Macaca mulatta: one gene and its partners. The protein of the gene in region 1 interacts with the protein of each later gene in a pairwise test. Links are inferred from orthologs where the notes say so. Each region holds a gene or a part of one and is shown in the gene's direction. Other genes may lie near its edges.

Region 1 (4,143 bases):
CTCAGAGCAAAGGGAATTTGAATGCCTTGAGGGATATTTTAGCCAGACTGTGGGGAAAAGAAAAAAAAAAATTCTTCAGTGTCTCGCCATCTCTTGTGAAATATGGTTGCTTTAGTATATAGCTGAATCAGTGCTGATGCCGTCGTATGGTTCAATTTTTATTTAGAATCATGCAGTCATGCAGGCCTCTGTGTTCTTCTGTTATCACAAAGGTTACTTAAAACAATTTACTAGTTTGGAGAATTTTAACCTTAGCCCAGCTCTGAGGATGTATTGATGGAATAGGGATTTGAAAGAATCCTCCCATTTTTCTGTTCCCACAACTATTTGTACTAACCTTCGTTTTTGTACTTAGCAAGTTGGCTAGTCCAGGTTTTTCACAGTTGTGGGACCAAAGGGTTTAGCACAGCACCTGGTAGAGAGTAGACCCTTAGTCATTTTTTTCTTATTTTTTGTAACAGCATTATTGATATGTGATTCACAGACTATAAAATTTACCGTTAAAAAATGTACAACTCTGTAGTTCTTAGAATATTTATTATTAGAATTGAGCAACATTATCATTATCTAATTTAAGAACATTTTTATCACCCCACAGGGAAGCATCCTACCCATTAGCAGTCAGTCTTCACTGCTCTCCCCTCACTCCCTGGCAACCACTTACCCATTTTATTTTATTATTATTATTATTTTGTTTTGAGACAGGGTCTCTCTCTGTCACTCAGGCTGGAATGCAGTGGTATCAATCATATTTTTATTTTTTGTAGAGATCGAGTCCTGCTATGTTGCCCAGGCTGGTCCTGCCTGGGCTTCCCAAAACATTGGGATTTACAGGCGTGAGATTTACTACTGAATTTGATGTTTATGAATTTGCCTATTCTGGACATTTTATCTAAATAGTCAGCTTGTGGTCCTTTGTGGCTGGCTTCTTTCACTTACAGAATGTTTCAAGGTTCATCCATTTTGTAGCACGTAGACACTGTATTTCATTCTTTTTTATGGCTAACAGTACATTATGTGAATATACTACTACATTTTGTTTATCCATTCATTCGTTAGTGGATATTTGAGTTGTTTCCAGTTTTGGTTATTATGAATAATGTTGCTGTGAACGTTTCATGTATAAATTTTGTATGTTTTTGTTTTACAATACATTTTGAATGGATGAAGGAAAAGTTTTAGCAAGTCCCAAAGCTGCATTGTTTTGTAAATGACCAATTTAATCCGTTTTATATTGAGATTTACTTGTTTTACTTTGAGATTCATTCTCTGTGTTCTGGAGGTAGCTTACTGTAGTCGTCCTCACAGCTGAATAAATGATTTTTGATTCTTTAATCCAGGATCTAAAATGTCCACTGAGGCACAAAGAGTTGATGACAGTCCAAGCACTAGTGGAGGAAGTTCCGATGGAGATCAACGTGAAAGTGTTCAGCAAGAACCAGAAAGAGAACAAGTTCAGCCCAAGAAAAAGGAGGGAAAAATATCCAGCAAAACCGCTGCTAAATTGTCAACTAGTGCTAAAAGGTATCTCAGTTATTATAACCTTTTTATTTTTGGTATCAGTTTATCATCTTAAGTTCTATTTTTCTCTTGCATTTAATCATTTTTTCCGTGATTGTCAGCCATGAACTTCGTGGATTTTTCTTTCCCTTTCAAGATGATCTCTTTTACATGGTTTTAGCCATAGGGAACTTCAGTATTTAAAGTCAGTTAAATGGCATGGCAGATTCATAAAATACATTTCCATAGTGTGTTTGTGTGTTTGTGTATTATTAGGGAAGCATATACAGGGCGTGCATGTAAAGTTGCAGTGGTTTCATTTATGGTTACTTGACCATAAATATTTTTTTTCTGTTCCGTAACACAGAATAGAGATTAGGAATCTTTTGAAGTGGTTATTGAGTGAGTGATAGTTTATTTTCCACTACTCCCAGTTGGTAGAGTCAGAAATGCTGACATTAGCGACAAGTGCATCTTGGTTTCATTACATTAGTCAGTGGATCCATCTTGATACAGATTTTTCTCTTTCTCTGGAGAATAGATGGATCTGGAAAGTAGGTATTTGAATGGTCTTCTTTTGGTACATCAATCTCTTAAAATGATTGGCATGTCAATGGACTTAGAGGGAATCTGTTTTGATATTGTTACATTATAGAATATCTCTTGGAAAATAATTTGAAAGATAAAGTAGTGTCTTTTGTGATCCTGTGATTTTATGTTCTTGCTTTGTTTTCATATGTTTTATATTGCCCAAATAGGAAGTATAAATAAAAGCAATCTGTAACTTTTAGGCATAGTGGAATGCCTGAATGTTGAATTACAGCTTTATATGTTATTTTATGGTGTGGATTAAGGGGAACTCCTTTCTCAAAGATAAGAAATCATTATTATGTTCTAGTAGACCTTGTTTCCCTTTGGCTTAGTCAGTCTACAGGATTGGAAAGAACCTTCTCAGGCCCCTTGGTGAGAGATGTTGGAGGATGGTGAGTGGTTATTCCAAGGTACTAGAGTATTCAGTTTCCCTTTCCTGGGGGTGTATTGCTGATCTCTGTTGAAGGAGCTGTTTGAAAGTCAGAGAGCCCTGAACTTTAAACTTTTAGACCTGTGTACTAGAACATGCCAGGGTGGGGAAGAGGGTTCAGTTTGTTTTGCCATCACACCGCAATTACAGGGGACTCAGCTGGCTGACCCTTCTGTTGCCAGACCACGACACAAATGACCTGCTTAGAGGTGACCTGGGAAATGGGGGGTGGGGTTAGGATGGATAAGAAAGGTGAGGAGTAGAGAAAATGTGACATTTAGGTGAAAGAAGGAAGTCGATGTGGGTGGAAAGGAGATGTTCAGGTACAGATTGTAGTTCCATGTAGATGCGGAAAATCTAATTCAGTCCTCAGTGTCTGATTGGGTTGTTACAGGGCCTTTTCAGTTTGTCAGAAAAGGGCAAGGATTGGTTGGCCAGGTCCTTGGGGAATAGGGTTCTGCTGGGCCTGTGCTTTATTTTGTGATTGCTAGTTAGCAAAGTTACCTGTTGTGGTGAGGCTCTGCCTTTTCCCCTAACTGGGAGCACCACTATAATATACCTTAAAATCATATTTCTTGCATGATATGCCAAAGATCAAATTCTGCTTATGAAAGATGTACTGCTTTATGTGTGAACATGAGTTTTTCAAGTACATGGGTCATCTTTATTTTACTCTACACTATATGTAGAAAGTACAGATTATTCAAACCTAATGATAGATTTCATGAGGGAAAAATACGGAAGATGTGTTTCTGCTCTGTACATAGGAGATACAACCTAGTTTAGAGATAGTGTATGTACAGAGCACAGGACAGTGCCTGCCTGCCAGTAAATAGTAAGTGGTTGTATTGCGTTGGTGAAAGTAAGAAGTCTCTTTTGAGTTGCTTCCTGGCTGAAAGAATCCCTCTGTTGGCAAATTCCTGTGAATCTGTGATTTTCAAGTTGTGGTTCATGATCTTCCTCTAGAAAGGTCTTCAGTTGGTTTTTGGGTGACACTGTATGAAGTGATGTAATTATTTACTATTTATTTTAAATATAAAAATGCGGCTTTGCTACTAATTTTTTAATTAAAAAAAAAACTTATTTTCCCCTCTCTCTTCCTCCGATTCAGCTGATAGGGAAGTTGTTGGTTCTTTGCCATTTCTGCTTAACTTAGGAAAAAAATTGGGAATTATGAGAACAGAGGACCCCACATCTTTTAAGTTCACTGTCATATCCACAGTACCTAGCAGAGTGCAGTCACAATATTTACTTACTGGTTACCTTGGAACCCTGAGCTTATTTTAGGGATTGGATTTTCCATGGATATTAGCATCTTAGTACTAGTGTGTTCAGAAGATTAAAAGTTAGAGGTAGTTTCAAAATAAATTTTATTTCACACTTTTTTGTTGATGATCATTTTTATTCAGATGAGAAGTCTTTCCCAAATAGTGTCATTTTATGAGAAAGAGTAGCATTGAAGAGCTTGAACTCTAGAGACAGGATCTACGTTTGAATCTAGGTTCTAGCATTTAGTAGCTATAGCTCTGTGGTCTTTTTTTTTTTTTCTTTTTCTTTCTTTCTTTTTTTTCTTTTTTCTTTTTCTTTTTTTTTTGAGGCAGAGTCTTGCTCTGTCACCCAGG
Region 2 (4,188 bases), on another chromosome or scaffold:
CCCAGCCCCTTCCAACTCCTCCCCCACCAGCCCGGCACTGAAACGCCCTTGTTCACTTTATTTTAAATGGGCACCATTCGGAGGCTACATTCTCACAGTCCATTCTTTGCTTCTCGTTCCTCACTTGCTCCATGACCCGGGATCATATCCCTTTCTTTCTAAAACTGTCACCCCTAGTTTCGGATAGTTGATAGTTTTGCACAAATAGTCACATTTCCCAGTAATTCCTGCTTTTTGTTTGTTTGTTTGTTTTCCTTCCTTATCAAAAGCGGCTGGTCAAAGACAACCTGGTTCAATTTATGAACCCAACTCCTTCCTCCCTCAAGACTGACAGAGATTGAGGTAAAGAGTACGTTCAGCCCTGTTAAATTTATAAGCACAGAATCGGGTATCGCATGCTTGTCCATGTGACTATTTATTTTTATTTTATTTATTTATTTATTTCTGAAATGGAGTCTTGCTTTGTTACCCAGGCTGGATGTGGTGCAGTGGTAGGATCTCGGCTCACTGCAAGCTCCGCCTCCCGGGTTCACGCCATTCTGCTGCCTCAGCCTCCCGAGTAGCTGGGACTACAGGCGTCCGCCACCACGCCCGGCTAATTTTTTTTTTTTTTTTTTTTTTTTTTTTTTTTTTGTATTTTTAGTAGAGACGGGGTTTCACCGTGTTAGCCAGGATCATCTCGAACTCCTGACCTCGTGATCTGCCCGCCTCGGCCTCCAAAAGTGCTGGGATTACAGGAGTAAGCCACCGCGCCCGGCCCATGTACAAAATAAAGCACCCAGAACTTTGCACCTGGACGTATCAACATTCAACAACCTTTGTCCTAGGAACTCAGGGAGTTCACACCAGGCTTTTAACACCCCTGAGACTGAAGGAGGGAAAAGGCTATAACTGGCAGCGACAACTGGGCCTAGGATAACGCTAACTCCAGTTTTGGCCAAACCTCCTCCAACACACATGTGCAAAGCCATATTCTCATGAAGAGGGGGCAAAACATTTGCTTTCTGGGTTTAACCTTCTACCATCTCAAACCAACTGTGCCAAAAATTTCGCTGTTCACCAGGATTCATCAAAAAACGTATATTTCTATTTTTATCGATTTTAAGAGAATAATTAACTGCTCTATTTTTACAGAAAATACACAAAGTGATACAGTCCAAAGACTAATACTCAGACGAAATCAATTGCTAAACATTGGCGGGGCAAAAGAGGAGACCACGCAACAAAAGCACGGACAGGCAACTTTCGGCACCGCGGGAAGGCCCCGACCAGGCTGGGGCTCCGCCTCTCCTCCCACTCTCTGCTCGGTTGTCCAGGAGCCCCGCGGCTCCCCGAATTCCCCGCCCTCCGCCCCTGCGGGCCTGCCCTGCAGGCCCCGCCCCAGCCCCGCCTCGTCCCGACGTCAGTTGTTGTGTCTCAGCTCCGGCCGCGGCCGTCCCTGATCTACGGCTGTGGAGGCTACGGCCGCGGCCTCCGGAGGTGGCGGGGGTGCTGGGGACCCGTGCCGCGACCGGCGCCGCCCATCCGAGCGGGGCAGGCGCTGAGTGGCCGGGAGGCAGCCGGGTAGCCGCCTGGAGGAGCAGTCTCAGGGCCTGTTATTGGTTTTTTCCCACCGAGACCGATTCCCTCTGCAGGGACCGCGACGCCCCATCCTGGGCCGGGCCGCGGTGCCCGCCTGCCTGAGAGGCGCCGCCCGCCAGCCGGCCCGAGCTAACGTGGAGCCGCCGCCGTGCCCGCCGTGCTTCTCGCGGATCCTGGGCGGTCGGCGGGGCCTGGGGCCTGGGCTTCGGGCGCGGCGCTGCGGCGGTCGCTCCTCCCCGCGCAGGACACGCTGGGCCCCAGGCCTGGCCCGGCCGAGCGCCGCGCCCTCCTGACCCGCGGCCGCGGGAGTCCGGCCCCCACGGCCCCTCGGGCCCGGGCCTGCCGCCCGGATCTCCGGCTCCTGGCGAATCTGAGTTATTTTTTGGTCTCTCCCCCTCCCCCTTGAGATCGCGGCGCCGGAGGGCCGACCCCGCCACCTGGGTCAGTGTCCCCCGCAGAGGGAAGCGTCCCTCGTTTTCTTCCCGTGAGCTCTCCCCGCGCCCCTCGCCTCTCGGTGCTTAATGGATGGCGGTTGTGAGTTTTTCCCATTTATTTTTGTCGCCTCTTGACTGGGAGGCCCGGCGCGAGGCTCTGCGCCTCTGCGTCCCTCGTCGCCACCTCACGCCCGCGCAGATCCCGTCACCTGCCTCCCCGTCGCGGATGGCCGGCCAGTGACGGCGCCGGGTGGCCCGCGCGTGGACACGGGGCCCTCGCCCAAGCTGCCACCGAGCCGCTGCCTCCGCCCTCGACCCTTCTCTCTCCCGTATTCCGAGCTCTCTGGAAAGAGAGAAGACGCCAGGGAAGATGTGGCTGAAGCTTTTTTTCTTGCTCCTCTATTTCCTGGTCCTGTTCGTCCTGGCCAGGTTTTTTGAAGCCATTGTGTGGTATGAAACTGGCATCTTTGCCACCCAGCTGGTGGATCCAGTGGCGCTGAGCTTCAAGAAGCTGAAGACCATTTTGGAGTGCCGAGGGTTGGGCTACTCAGGGCTGCCTGAGAAGAAGGATGTCCGGGAGCTGGTGGAAAAGTCAGGCGAGTATCGAGCTTCCCCTAGGGCCCCCTCCACCTGGGAGAGGGGACGACCTGTACCTCCTGGTACCTGGCTGTTCCCCCAGAGTGAGGCCTTCCCTGGAAGGGTTAAAGCTGCCCAGGTTGCTTCGTCCAAGCTTTCTACAATCAAGTATGCGGATCCCAGCTTTGAGGAGGAGGCTGAAATTACTTGGAGGGGTGTTGGTGTATCCTTTTAAGGTTGTCGTAAAATGACAGTTTAAAGTGTGGCTTCTTAGCGTTGTTTACTAAGTTGAGTGATTTTCTCAAAATTCGGGAATATGAACTAGTTACAAACTGGAAAGCATTATTTGTCAGTTGAAGTTCATAAAAACGTAAGAAAAACTCCAAAACGTTGTCTGTCAATAGTAGTATTTGTCACGATAGTAATAATAAGGTACCCAGAGTGGGGACCCATCTTTGGAATACTTACTATCAGAGGCACTTGGGCCTAGGATTTGAATGTTAGTTAAATCATGAGTTTGAATATAGACAGTGTACACCGACTTTAAGTCTGAAAAGGCGAGTAAGTCTGAGTAAGATGAGCATTTTGTATAAATGCTTGCCATGTTCTAGTTTATATTATATTTCTGTTAGGATTTTTTTAAATTTGCATCTTGGATGTAAGAAAAAGTTTTTTTTTGTCTTCTGTGTCACAGGCACATTGTTTAATGGGTTGAGAAATATAAGTGAAATAGTCCTGAGAGAATATTCAATGTCTTAAATAATGTGTTTTTCGTAATTGTTGGTTTTGGTAGGATTGGGTGAGAAATATGATTACTTTTTTTCACTGCTGGACAAAGTATACCTTTGTTTGGATATACTTCCTGAAAGTGGAATGTAATTTGAGAAAGGCTTTCTGCGTTGCTGTAGGGAGCAGCTGAAACTGATGGTTATCTTTTTTTGTTGTTTCAAGTATTTCTGTCAGCTGTCTTTTACAAGACAAATCTTTTCCTTCTTTAGTACCCTATAGACATGTAGCGTGATAGACAAGAATATGAACTAGCTAGCAGTTTAACACTTGGATATTTGTAGGTTGTGGGTTATAAAACTCGTATCTCACTGTTAGGATAGAGGAGAGGAACCCACTCTGCAAAAGTGATAAATATTTCGTTAGAGAAAATATAAAATCGTGTATTATTCTTGCCCCTTGTTTGCTGGCTGGTTTATGGTGATTCTTATTTTTACCATAGGGGGAAGAAGTGGAGTAACTAGGGTAAAAGATCTCTACTAAATAAACTCTCTTGGTTTAGAGATGAGAAGTGTCTTAATTACTAAAGCCATCATTTTTTATGGAAAATAATTTGATCACACATTTTTTCTTTTGACAGTTATTTATTATTGCCTTCTTTCGGGACTAAAAATACTTGGCACATTGAATGTATTAGGTGTCCACATATAACTTTAAGACGCACAGCCCAATATGACTCAAATCACATTTTATGGCAGAAAAGTCATGGTATAGCGGTTTAAAAATTTAAGTGTTTATTGTGAATGGTTTTGCTGCTATCATGGTGCAGTGCTTGGTTTCTCACTGTTTAATATTTAAGGCAAAAGTTAAA
Region 3 (3,931 bases), on another chromosome or scaffold:
AAAATTAAAGCTTCACAGTTAACCCCTATTTATATACCAAATCATGCTTTTTAAAAACAATTTTATGCGCTTCACTAATTTCTAACAAAGATTTTCCGATTCTGTTGCAAACAATATGTCAGCTAAACCACTATGTCCTATGCCTTTTATAAGATGGTACTTTTTTAGGCCGAACTCTATTCTTATTCCTCTGGACACAGGAGTTGTAATCATGTCTTACTCTGCAAATCTAGCCGTAGGTGGTGTCTTAAAAAGGACTTTTTCTTCCTTCGAGGAAGTGGTCAAGCTTCCCCCCAGCCCCCACCCGTGTCATCCTGGAAACAACTTGGTTGTTTTTCGGTGCTATCTAATTAAGCGATGTAGGAGAAAGAAGTTGAGGAGACAAAAAAGCCTATTGATTACATTGTACTTGCTTCTCTACCTCGCTCTTCAAAGGACTAAGGTTCCTTTGACCTCGACTGAGTTCATTTCCACCCTGCCTACAAAGTACTGGTTTAAAAAAAAAAAAAAAAATCCAAGCCAAGTATGCTCTTGTCTATGAACAATACTTCTTGTCCAGTTTTATTACATTTTCTTTGAAAATTCGTTAGATTATGCTCAACAATCGGCCGCTTGCCCAACCGGTTTCTCCCTTCCCCCATCTCTCTTCACACATCACTTTTTCCTCCTCCCATCCAGGCAGTTGGTAAAACGCTGCAGTGCCAGTAACGCACGCTTTGGGGTGGTCACTGCAGTTTATCCTTACTTGGCTTTGCAAACTCCCCACCCAGGCCTTGTCCCCTCGCGCCCCACTCTGCCATTATCTTTCCAGTAGAGTGTGCTCGGTAAGGGGCTCCAGATAGCACGTCGAGGGTATACGGCAGCCTGCCTACCAATAGGAGCCCACAATGAAGAGAAGTCAGGTTCAGCCGGCCGGCAGCTCCAGTATCTCCTTCCCCTAACTCTACACCTACTGTACCCGGGAGCGAGCGAGCAAGGGAGGGAGCGAGCGCGGCGCGGCGCGGCGCGGCGCTGGAGGGGGCGCGCAGGGAGGGCGGACAGCAGCCGCGGCCTGCGCTTGCGCATTGGGGTTGTTTTTCACAAAGCTGCTCTTAAAGTGAGCTGGCAGCCTTTAGCCGCCCGTCTTTGTAAGGAGACCACTGAGACGAGCGGGAGCGCGGAGCAGCAGCTTCTGCTGCCCTGACTTTTTAAGAAATCTCAATGAACTATTTGTAGAGAATCACTGATCCGGCCTGCAAGCATTTTGCACGGCAAAAATATCGATCAGTGTTAAGTGAAGATCACATTTTATATGCGATCTTGACTTTTTTGTCTTACATTATATTTTTATAGATTTTGTTATAAACATGGTGCTGGGAAAGGTGAAGAGTTTGACAATAAGCTTTGACTGTCTTAATGACAGCAATGTCCCTGTGTATTCTAGTGGGGATACTGTCTCAGGAAGGGTAAATTTAGAAGTTACTGGGGAAATCAGAGTAAAATCTCTTAAAATTCATGCAAGAGGGCATGCGAAAGTACGCTGGACTGAATCTAGAAACGCCGGCTCCAATACTGCCTATACACAGAATTACACTGAAGAAGTAGAATATTTCAACCATAAAGACATCTTAATTGGGCACGAAAGAGGTAAGTTTTTCTGTTATTCAGAAGTCATTGGACTCATTTTCTTTGGAAACGTACCTTTTCAGTTTTCTGAATTAACGTGATTCTACTCATAGTATAACTAAGCAGTTTGATAAAGGTTAGCAAAGTTGGAAGGTTTGGATTCCCCTTGACGTTCATCGTGTGTTAAGCCGTAATGCATGCAGGCATCTGCAAAGTGACTGCAAACTACACTTATTCAACTACCTCTATACCCGGCTTGGTCTGTGCCATACGCGCTTGTAGTCCATTTGCACCTTATAAATTCTGCTTGAATCCAATGCAATCGTTTTACTAATATATTTTCAAATGAATTGCTAAAAGCTGCAGTCTTAGATTTTTGCCCTTTTACTTGCAACCTAAGATGTAAAAACTAAACTTCAATCAAGAAATGTAATAACATTTTTAAGAGGCTTAATGGGCGTGTTTCATTTTTAATTTTGGAATGCAAAAGACTTTAAAGAATTGATCACTGTGCTTTCATAAAAGGTTTATGTGGCTTATTTTGACATATGGTATCAACACCCCACGTGTTTTTTCTCTATTCTTTCCCATTCCTTTAAAAATTTACACCCAGCATTCCTTATTTTAAAGGGTACTGTCTGTCATTATGATAGGTATCGAGTCAGTTTTAGAAGCCATTTAGGATCAGTAATTTTCTTTTCCGAGCATCATGTCTAACTTTGGAACGTGCATTCAATGAAACCCATGCCAGTCAAATGGAATTGAAAAGTATAGGGCACACTGGATTTGATTTTTGGTTAGAAGAGGGAGATAAAGGGTTGTCAAAGGGAGAAGGAGTCCTGAGATTTCCAATCTATTGTTTAAATGGTTACATTGTGGAAATATAGGAGAGTCTAGGCTTGTTTTTCTAAGTTTCCACCCTTTGTTAGAAGCGGTTCAATCCTGTTTCGGACCAGTTCTGGGGGGTGGTGAGGAGGGGCGCTTGTTCTGCTCTCAGCAGATTGGTTACACGCGTCAGGTGGTGGCGATGACTTAATTCCTAGCCCAAGAAGAATATAATGTTAAAACTGGTTATGTAATTTTTGTGCCTCTCCTTTTTAATGCAGTATTTAGTTCAGATGTTGGCGATTTTTCAGAAAAAAATTAGAGCCATATTTTACCTTCTTTTTTATATTAAAAACGTACATCCTGGAGAGGTGCTGATGACTGAACTAAGGCAAGTGAGAAATGAAGGATGCTTTGAGGGGCAGTATTAATGCATGATTTCTGAAACTATTAAGGTGAACTCAGTTCTTTAGTAGGATTTTCGTAGATACAGGTACTTTGCATCCTGAAATAACTAATTAATGTCTCCAAGCGTTAACACTGATAGGAGATGCAGATGCCTAATGACAGTCTTGGTATTTGTTGAAAAGCAGATAGATGAGTTTGTGTTTCTACCTTTCTGAATATTGCAGCCTTTTATGAAATGGGTGAAAGAAACAGATTTTTCTTCAAGAGGTTGAGACTTGCAATGGGGGAAAAGTAGAACAATGAGTTGTGAGGACAAATATTTCATTAGTTACACCATGATTTCATGGTAAAGAAAACTAAATGCCCTGCACCCCCAACAAAATGCCCCCCCCCCCAAACCCTGCAACGCGTAGACGAGCTCAGTCTGGAATAGTTTCAATGACTTGAAACTGGGAGCTCTCAAACTAGCCTGGTAACTGAGACCCCGCCCCGGGCGCCCGGGATAGGCGGAGCCAGGTTTGTTAGCCTGTTGCTAAGGCGATGGCAGGCGCTGATTGGATTGGGCGCGGGCGGGTGGGGAGAGGGGGCTCGCGCCGCTGCTGGGGCGAGGCTAGGAAACCGGCGTGCGCCGGTAAAGGTCCCTCCAGAGAGCCACCCCCACCCAGTCCATACTCACGTTTGTTCCCGGGCTTCTGGGGGCGCCCGGCCCGTGTCACATCACGTTCTATCGCCCCTCTTTTGGGCCTGCTAAGGACCATCGAAAGGAAACGACTTCAGGCTTTAGCTGAGTTGAGGGCAGACGCTCCTGCCGGCCTTACAGGTGCCGGATGGCCCGGGACCCAACTTTAGTGGAAAATCCTTTTCAGATGGAATTTGGATGGGAAGGGTTGGCAGGACCCCCGTTAGCTATCTGCCGGGTAGGAGGTGTCAGGGGACTCCTGTGAACGCTTCTGAAACAAAGCGTGTTCCCCGACCTCTCCAGTAGCCACACTGGCTACCTTGAGTTGACCTGAGGGGACAGAGCAGAGGCTGGCCCGGGGAAGAAAGAAAATGATTCCAATATCGAAATCTAGGTGGGGGCTTCGAAGGGTAT
Region 4 (4,298 bases), on another chromosome or scaffold:
TGGGCTACAGAGCAAGACTCCATCTCAAAAAAAAAAAAAGAAAGAAAGAAAGAAAGGAAAAGAAAAACAGGCCAGGTGTGGTGGCTCACGCCTGTAATTCTAACACTTCGGGAGGCCAAGGCGGGCGGATTACCTGAGGTCAGGAGTTCAAGACCAGCCTGGCCAATATGGTGAAACCCTGTCTCTACTAAAAATACAAAAAATTAGCCGGGTGCAGTGACACGCGCCTGTAATCCCAGCTACTCAGGAGGCTGAGGCAGGAGAATCGCTTGAACCTGGGAGGCGGAGGTTGCGATGAGCCGAGATTAGGCCACTCCACTCCAGCCTGGGTGACAGAGTGAGATTACGTCTCAAAAAAAAAAAAAAAAAAAAGAAAAAAAAAGAAAGAAAAAAAAGAAAAAGAAAAACAATTGTTCGCTGAATGAATGTGAATATAGGAGAGAAAGACGGACTGAGGTATCAAAGGAACCCTCCCTTGCAAAATGATGCAGGCTTGGTCAACAATACACCTATTGAGTACCCACCGTGTCCTTGGCCGTGGTGTAGGCCGAAACACAGAACATGGTAAACAAAACAGGGCTCCAACCTTGGACAGAAGGTTTCTATAATCACTTCTAGCTACGTAGTTCTATTTCCATATCCATATCTATTCACATTTTATGGTACCTCTATTGGTTCTGAAAATTACATTTTAGCTAAGGAATCTACTCATTTGCTTAAGCCCAAAATAGGAAGTTCTGACCTAGTGTCAGCAACACTCCGGATTCACAAGTGTCCCCATGGCGCTGTTTACCCCCAAATAGCTAAACCCCGCCAAATGTTGAGATTCCGGACCTGAGGGGTGCTTGGATGGGGAACCCCCGAAAGAATGGACATCACGTCCACCAGAGGGTGCTGTGGGGGCAAATTTGTGCCAGGAGGGGAGCTCGACTGGTGACCCTCAGAGCCAGGTAGGCGTAAGGAGTAAATCTCCTTCTTCCCGGTGTTTCCTTCCCACCCCCTCGAACCATTGCTGCCCCTCCCCCATACGTGGTTCCCCCTGAATAATTTGCCATTTTCGGGGACTTAAGAAGTGTTTGCTTTTCAAAGACATCTGGTTTCTGTGGCTAACGCCCAGTGGCTCAGGCCGCCCAGGTCACAGGCCGGCCGGGGGCGGGCGGTGGGTGGGGACTGCTGGGGCGTCAGCTGCCCGGGCGCCGCAGGGGCCGCGAAAGGGTTAACCCGACGGGGGGAGGGGGAGGGGGCGCAGGCCGCGCCTGCGCTCTGCCGCCCTCCATTGTCTCCACGGCGGCCAGGAGCGCCGGCAAGCGCTGCCCGGGACCGAGCGGGGTGGCGCGGCTGGCGGGGCCGGCGGCGACTGAAGCGAGAGCGCGACACGACGCGACCGCGGCTTCCCGAGCTGCGCCTGGCCGCCCAGCGCCGCGGCCCGCCCGAGGCCTGGAGAGGTCCGGGCCGCCGTCCATGGTCGCGGCGTCCTGAGGCGGGGGACGCGCCTGGCGCCCCCGGTCCTCCTCCTCCTCCCGCGGGGCGGGCGGCCTCCTCCGGCGCCTCCCCGCGCCCGCCTGCCTCTCGCCGCCGCCTCCCTCCCTCCTTCCCTGCGGCTCCCCCGGCTTTCGGAGCCCGGGGGCGGCCTGTGGCGCGCGGAGCCCGCGCCGGACTGCGCCTCTTTGGACCTTGAGGGGAAACATGCGTTTGGCTTGGATCGTTTGAAATTCTGAGTTTGGGATCCCCGCCCGCCCGCCTGCCTCTTCCGCCCCGCGGGTTTTTTCCTTTTTTCTTTTGCTTTTTTCTTTTCTCCCTTCGGGTCTCCTTTTTGACTCCCTCCCTCTTTATGCTCGCCCAGCCCTCCCCCCGCTGCTGAGAAGTGGGGGAGGGTCTCGGCCTCCAGGTTCCCGCCCCACCGGGGCCCGGGCGAGCATGGGGGGCAAGCAGAGCACGGCGACCCGCTCCCGGGGCCCCTTCCCGGGGGTCTCCACCGATGACAGCGCCGTGCCGCCGCCGGGAGGGGCGCCCCATTTCGGGCACTACCGGACGGGCGGCGGGGCCATGGGGCTGCGCAGCCGCTCGGTCAGCTCGGTGGCAGGCATGGGCATGGACCCCAGCACAGCAGGGGGGGTGCCCTTTGGCCTCTACACCCCCGCCTCCCGGGGCACCGGCGACTCTGAGAGGGCGCCCGGCGGCGGAGGGTCCGCGTCCGACTCCACCTATGCCCATGGCAATGGTTACCAGGAGACGGGCGGCAGTCACCATAGAGACGGGATGCTGTACCTGGGCTCCCGAGCCTCGCTGGCGGATGCTCTACCTCTGCACATCGCACCCAGGTGGTTCAGCTCGCACAGTGGTGAGTCCACGGTGGTGGAGGCCTCGGAGGGAGGGCGCGCCGGGGCGCCCCAAGCCTTCGCGCGCGTGCCAAGGTTTGGGAATATAGTGCACGACCGGGATCTGTCTGCCTTCCCTTTGGTTCCCGATGCCAAGGGATGAATGGGATACCTACCCTCTGGGAACTAGGCTTTCTGCAAGGTTGCGGAGCCTGGCGATGTAGGACTCCCGGCGTGTGTTCACTTGTGGAAGGGCAGAGCGAAGCCTACCTATTGGAGTCCCATTTATTGGCATCTCCCTCCTCAGAGAAGCGGTCTTCTCTGGCTGAGAGCAAGTCAGCCTGGGTGCTTCCATTCTGCCACTGCAGCACTGTGCCTGCCTCACCAGTAACGGAGAGATGGAGCCAGTTGGAGCAAGCAGTGTCTCCAAAACAGAGAGTATGAAAATGAAATAAAATTAGGGGCGAGTGATGCCTGGATTAGGGCTCTCACTCTTGCTGGGAGAGAGAGGTGCCCAGTTGTGCCACCCTGCTGGAGATCTGTTTGAAATGTTTAAAATGGAGCAGCCGGCAGGCGGCTGGCATAGACAGGTGTGGCTGCTGTACGGAGGGCCCAGCCGGCGAGTCTCGCGGGGGCTTTGCAGGACCAGGGCTCTGGTCACCCGTACTGCATGCAGCAGACTTGGCTCCACGACTCTCACCTCCCTCCATCTTTTTTCTTCTGCTCCATGCTAAGTGCTTGGTCTTCCCGTGAATCTGCATCTTTTTGTAACAGGGAGCCTGTCAAGGTGGGGCATTATTGCCTGACTGTTGGCACATGACTGGGGGAAAGGAGGATTCAGAGAATCTGGATGAATTCATTTTATGAACTTCTGGTGACAGGCCAGCAAAAGGTTGGAGGGGGATTTCCCAGGCTCCTACTGGGAGGGCTAAAAAGGCCTGGCAGGAGGAAAACAGGTCTGTCTGCTAGGTCAGGCTTCTAGAAAATTGGCCAAAAGGTGTGTGGGGCCGCTGTTTGCTAATTGGCAAGTTGAGTGAATAAGTTACATCTTAAGTTTCTTTTGGGTGAGTTGGGAAAATTTAGATATTGTGTAGGGGAAAGATTGCTCCTGCCTTTAGGGTACTTTATGGAGGGTAATATCTCGTGGATCACTGTTTTACCTACTGTGAAATAGAGTTGACTTTTGGGGTATCGCTTTCCCCCTCCCTGCAAATATCCTGGGGTTTGTTTTCATTTGGTTCGGTTTTTTGTCAATTCTATAAACTATGTGAAATAGAGTTGGGGGACGAACTGTTAGTGACTAATTTAGGGTAACCCTTAGAAGTAGCTTGTGAATTGTTAGGATGATATTTTAATCTCTGAACAGACCTCCGGATATCATTGGAGCTTTTCTGACCTCATCGAACTCTGACCTGAATGAGATGCAAAACATGATTGCCTTTGGCTCTTTCAGGCATTTGATCAAAATTAGGCATTTTGAAATTAATAATCTTTCCTATGAAATTTAGTTCAGAGAGTTAGCCATATTTTTGAGATGACTGGTTAGGTGTTTAAAAGAACTGTAATGAGCATCTGGTTTTGAACTTAAAAGCACTATACGAAGTTTCTCTAAAATCACAGAATTTTGTGTGTTGAAAAACATGAGATATGTAGGGAGGAAGAAAGGGAGTTTTTTTTTTTTTTTTTTTTTCTGAAATTTCTTCAGTCTGTCTCTTACTAAAAATTTATTTATTATGCTACTGCCAGGTTCCATGCTAAAGTTATGAGCTTATAATTGGATTCCAGAATTTCAGTCCTAAGCTGTGAAAGCTTATTTTTTTTCATCCTGTTATGGTGAGAGTAGGGAGAGCCACTGAACTGTGGGGACAGGAAAGTTGGAGCACATTAATCCTTTGGGGAAGGGTGTCAAAAGCGTGTATGGGAGGCTGCTATTAATATTGTAGGTAATCTGTTCCTTACTGTGTAGGACCATCATGTCCT
Region 5 (4,275 bases), on another chromosome or scaffold:
GTGGCCGGATCTCAGCTCACTGCAAGCTCCGCCTTCCGGGTTTACGCCATTCTCCTGCCTCAGCCTCCCGAGTAGCTGGGACTACAGGCGCCCGCCACCTCGCCCGGCTAGTTTTTTTGTATTTTTTAGTAGAGACGGGGTTTCACTGTGTTAGCCAGGATGGTCTCGATCTCCTGACCTCGTGATCCGCCCGTCTCGGCCTCCCAAAGTGCTGGGATTACAGGCTTGAGCCACCGCGCCCGGCCCGTAAAATCCCCTTAATATCAGTCTCTAGGAAAGCTCATTCTTCATAATCCTTAGAATTGGACCTCCTCTTGTTAATTTCCTTAGTCTAATCACAATCCTCCTGGTTATTTACAAACCGAACGCCAGAAAGGAGGGTTATCAACATCTTATGCGCCACAAATTAACAAATCAAAACCAAATCTCACTCTCCCTCCGAAGCCAAGGCTAAGGAGGCTCACCGCCCAGTTAGTGGCTTTCAAACTACCCTTACAAGTGAGGCATCTTGTGAATTAGAACAACTGCTGCTGCTAAAATCCCTAATGGCTACATAGCAATGTGAAAAAAAGGTATCAAATGTAATTTTCTCAAATTTAATCCTCTTCAATTGTTGGCACAAAAAAAGGAATAATAAAGGTAGACAACTGTAATTAGCATGTGTGATCCCAAATCTTTATACCTTAGATACTGGATATTTTCTACAAGTAAATAGTTTCTGGCTCCCAAGATGAGAGGTTAAATAATGCAGGGTGTTTGTAAACAGCAGCACAACTTACACCGGAAATTAGGGCACTTTCTCACCAAGGAGAGTACATCAAAATTTGCTCATCTCTTTCAATCAATGTTCTCCAGGACTAGTGCTGGGGGCGGGGAGGCGGAGCAAGCTATCTTTTCTACCAGCCGTGTCACACCCCTCCTAGCACTAACCCCTCCTCCTCAGCCTCTTCACACCTCTACCCACTACTAACCCCTCCCCAGCCCCATCACCGCTTCCCGGGCCCCTGACACCTCTCCCAGCATACTCTTCCTGGCCTCATCACCTCACCCACTTCCTCCAAAATCACAGGACCTGCTAAGCTTCCAGCAGCAAGCGAGCAAAGCAGGGAGGCTGTAATGTAAAAGTCCGCAGTCCCTACACAAACACTATCTGCTCCTGCGGAGAAACTCAAGTCACAGCCCCAGAAGAAAGAACAGGCCTGGGCTCTCACCCAGTTAACCAGCGTTTATCCAGCGCACGTGTTGCGGTCGGACCCCATGCGAAGGAGCTAAGGACACAAAGGTGAGCAGCAGAGTCGCGGTTCCAGCTCTCTCCCGGCTCCCACTCCAGCGGGGTAGGTAGATAATTTCGGTAAACTTCGCCAAGCAGGGGCAGGACAAAGAGTATTTGAAGTCTACCCGGGGGAGAACTTACCTAATCCTTGAATGTTAAAAGGCTAAAACTCCACCAGTCGGAAGTGACGTGCCAGCTGAGCCCCGCAGGTCCGCCACGTAATTGGCCGCCGCCACAGCTAGCCACCCTCTCCCCGGACTGGCCCGAAGAGAGGAAAAGTGTGGAAGTCCACAAGCCGCCCTCGCCCCGCCCTCTTCGTCGACTTTCAGCTGCACTGGGGAGCGGCGGCGCCTGGCCAGAGCCGGGGCCTGGAGCCTGGACGGGACAGCCTCGCCGGCCGGGGCGCCCGTCCAGCGCCCTGCGGGCCATGGGCTTCAGCGCTCGAGCACGCGCATGCGCGGGCCTCTATCTCCAGAGGATTCCTCGGGTCACCTGGACGCCAGCATCTCAGCCACCTGCCCCTCTGGGTCCCTTCTTGTCCTTGATTCCTCCTGCTGGTTCTCATCGCCAGCCCTCCTCCACCTCCTCCTTCCGCAGCCACCGCTAGACCCGGCCGCTGCTGCCTGCCGACACCCCAGCTTCCACTGACACGAGCCTCGGCGCGGCTTCCGCTTCCGGCGAGTATTGTGTGTCGCGCCGCGGGGCGGGGGCGAGGGGAGGAGGAAGGAGGGAGGCAGCGCTCCGGCGGCTCCGCGCCCCGCACTCCCGGACCCGAAGCCGGGAAGGTAGGTGCTGTCCCGCCGCCGCGCCCGAGTCTGGGGCCTGCCCCCGCCGGCCGGCTCCGCAAGTCGCGTCCCAGCGCCCCGCGACTGCGTCACCGGCCCCCCGCACGTAACCACAGCTGCCTCCGCCCGCCTCGGGCCCGGGCGGACGTTTTGCCGCCCCGGCGACGTCAGCGCGTCCGGCGTTGCTTGGCTACCCCGCCGTTCCCCCGTCCCGCTGCTGCTCACCTCCCCGGGTGAAACTCTGACGCAGTCACCGCGGGTCTCGGCTGCGTCATAGCGGCGGGCATCCCACCTTCACGTCACACCTCTTCCTCACCTGGACACGCATCCCTCCCTACCCTGCCAGCAACGACGTTTCCTCTTTCCCCTCTCCAATCCCCCTGCCCCAGATCTGGCGGAAGAAAATGGAGACGGGGGTGGGACAGAGTTGTGGACAACCTCTCAGGACAGGGTCGCAAGGTGGGACCCTGAACAGTGGTTTAAACAAAATGAGATCGTCCCTGAAGTTTGCCCTTCAGCTGAGACACAAGGAGTAGAGGGAGACGAAGGACTAACCCAGAGGCACTCAAGGTCTCACTATGACTGTAGTTTAGAGTCCTCTCCATTCTTCCCGAACCCTTTCCCCATTTCTTTCACCACTTCTTTGCCAGTCTAGATCTGTCCTGGTGCCTTACTGTGCATACAGTTCTACTCATCTCAGGTGAGGAGGCCACCTAATTTGTAAAAGACTGAGGAAGGGGTAGGGTCACCACAAGTCAAAGTTGGATTTCCACAGGTAGAGAGAAATCATCTGATTGAACTTCTCTCCTATTGCTGACAGAAAAAATTCAAGTCCAAAGAAGTTATCAGCTCCTACTCCAAACACATTTGTGTGTGCCAACAATATATACAGGAACAATTGTTGTTAACCTACCTCATTACATGGCCACTTATCTCTCAGCACATAGATTTACCAAATTTCCTTCCTTCCAGTAGGTCCCTAGAGAAGGATGGGGGTCAGGAGGAGAAAGGGTTATGGGGATAGATACATCAACTTACCCATGGCTAAAAGTATCGACGTTTTAAGATGGAGTGGGGGACCAGCGTTGTGTTTTATAAATCTCTCTTATGCATTTCCAATTCTTCTGAGGCTGCACTTGAGGGAGATCTCATTGCCTCTTTTCTGTCTCTTAATTCCCAACCACTCCAGAACCTGTTAGTTGGAGACACAGTATGCCCAGGATGTTAGTTATCAATAGTTATATTGAAGGATTCCAGTCACTATAAATAGACTTGTTTCTTTACAAGAAGTTGTTGGCCTGAGCTCAGTAATGTACTATTTAATATAGTTGCCATAATTTATCAGTTTTCAGCAGTTCTGAGTGTCCAAATGAACACAATAGAAATGGAATGTTGCATGAAATATGTTATTCCAAGAAGAGAGCAGACTTCCTTTAGGCTAGTCTGATGGATAAAAGGAAGAATAATTTCAGATTTTCCTGGAAAGAGAAGGTTGCCTTTGCTTCATTCATTCCATTTGTTAGCCTTTAGAACACTGGTATCTAACCTTTTGAATGGGAGGACTCTTTTTACTTATCTGTGGTGGCTGATAAAACAAAAATTATGCATGGACCTTTTGTGGTGGCTGATAGAACAAAAGTTATGCATGGACTTCTTTTTTTTTTAGCTTATCAGCTGTCATTAGTGTCAATGTATTTTATGTCTGGCCCAAGATACTTTTTTTTCCAATGGGCCCAGGGAAGCCAAAAGATTGGATACTGTGGTTTAGAAGAATGAGAGAACAGTGTCAGAGAATCAAGCTTAGACTCCAGTGGATTCATCATAAAGCCCTTATAACATTAAACTTTAAAATATGCTTAATTTAAGAAATGTTAATATTTTTATGACATTTTTTACTTCTCAGATTCCTTTCTTATCTATTAGAAACGTATGTCAAACGAGGATACAGTGGTCTGGAACTATTGGTTCTAAGATACAAGTGGAATGAACCTGGATCAGGAGAAGTATGCTGAGCTAGAGTTGAAGGAAGCTGCTCTTTCTAACAAGAGAAAGCAGAGGTAAGAGACAAGATAGATAAATTGGGGGTTGTGTGTCAGTTTACTAACAAGAAAAAAAGGTTAATGGCTGGGAGTCACAAGTTTTGGAAATGGAGAAACAAAGAGATTGAATTGATTGAAAGAGAAGATGGAGAATAACAAGATTGGGCAAATCTGGAGT

The links.
Region 2: the proteins of UBE2E2 (region 1) and RNF103 interact in a two-hybrid assay, tested with the Homo sapiens proteins (2 studies listed by BioGRID). The link is inferred for Macaca mulatta from reciprocal best matches to the Homo sapiens genes UBE2E2 and RNF103.
Region 3: the proteins of UBE2E2 (region 1) and ARRDC3 interact in binary tests that used the Homo sapiens proteins (3 or more experiments, as listed by UniProt). The two-hybrid records come from large-scale screens. The link is inferred for Macaca mulatta from reciprocal best matches to the Homo sapiens genes UBE2E2 and ARRDC3.
Region 4: the proteins of UBE2E2 (region 1) and ZNRF1 interact in a two-hybrid assay, tested with the Homo sapiens proteins (2 studies listed by BioGRID and IntAct). The link is inferred for Macaca mulatta from reciprocal best matches to the Homo sapiens genes UBE2E2 and ZNRF1.
Region 5: the proteins of UBE2E2 (region 1) and TRIM39 interact in binary tests that used the Homo sapiens proteins (3 or more experiments, as listed by UniProt). The link is inferred for Macaca mulatta from reciprocal best matches to the Homo sapiens genes UBE2E2 and TRIM39.

The regions. Positions count from the first base shown.
Region 1 is NC_133407.1:25,286,035-25,290,177, reverse strand, and holds the start of UBE2E2 (ubiquitin-conjugating enzyme E2 E2), read left to right. Parts: upstream 1-1,343; 5' UTR 1,344-1,348; coding exon 1,349-1,524; intron 1,525-4,143.
Region 2 is NC_133418.1:37,767,045-37,771,232, forward strand, and holds the start of RNF103 (E3 ubiquitin-protein ligase RNF103), read left to right. Parts: upstream 1-1,388; 5' UTR 1,389-1,479; intron 1,480-1,825; exon of another isoform or gene 1,826-2,385; coding exon of another isoform or gene 2,386-2,611; intron 2,612-4,188. UniProt on the Homo sapiens protein: Acts as an E2-dependent E3 ubiquitin-protein ligase, probably involved in the ER-associated protein degradation pathway.
Region 3 is NC_133411.1:97,758,163-97,762,093, reverse strand, and holds the start of ARRDC3 (arrestin domain-containing protein 3), read left to right. Parts: upstream 1-1,131; 5' UTR 1,132-1,346; coding exon 1,347-1,626; intron 1,627-3,514; exon of another isoform or gene 3,515-3,931. UniProt on the Homo sapiens protein: Adapter protein that plays a role in regulating cell-surface expression of adrenergic receptors and probably also other G protein-coupled receptors.
Region 4 is NC_133425.1:70,322,626-70,326,923, forward strand, and holds the start of ZNRF1 (E3 ubiquitin-protein ligase ZNRF1), read left to right. Parts: upstream 1-1,498; 5' UTR 1,499-1,917; coding exon 1,918-2,341; intron 2,342-4,298. UniProt on the Homo sapiens protein: E3 ubiquitin-protein ligase that plays a role in different processes including cell differentiation, receptor recycling or regulation of inflammation. Mediates the ubiquitination of AKT1 and GLUL, thereby playing a role in neuron cells differentiation.
Region 5 is NC_133409.1:152,701,602-152,705,876, reverse strand, and holds the start of TRIM39 (E3 ubiquitin-protein ligase TRIM39), read left to right. Parts: upstream 1-1,475; 5' UTR 1,476-2,058; exon of another isoform or gene 2,059-2,628; intron 2,629-2,713; exon of another isoform or gene 2,714-2,758; intron 2,759-3,961; exon of another isoform or gene 3,962-3,981; 5' UTR 3,982-4,115; intron 4,116-4,275.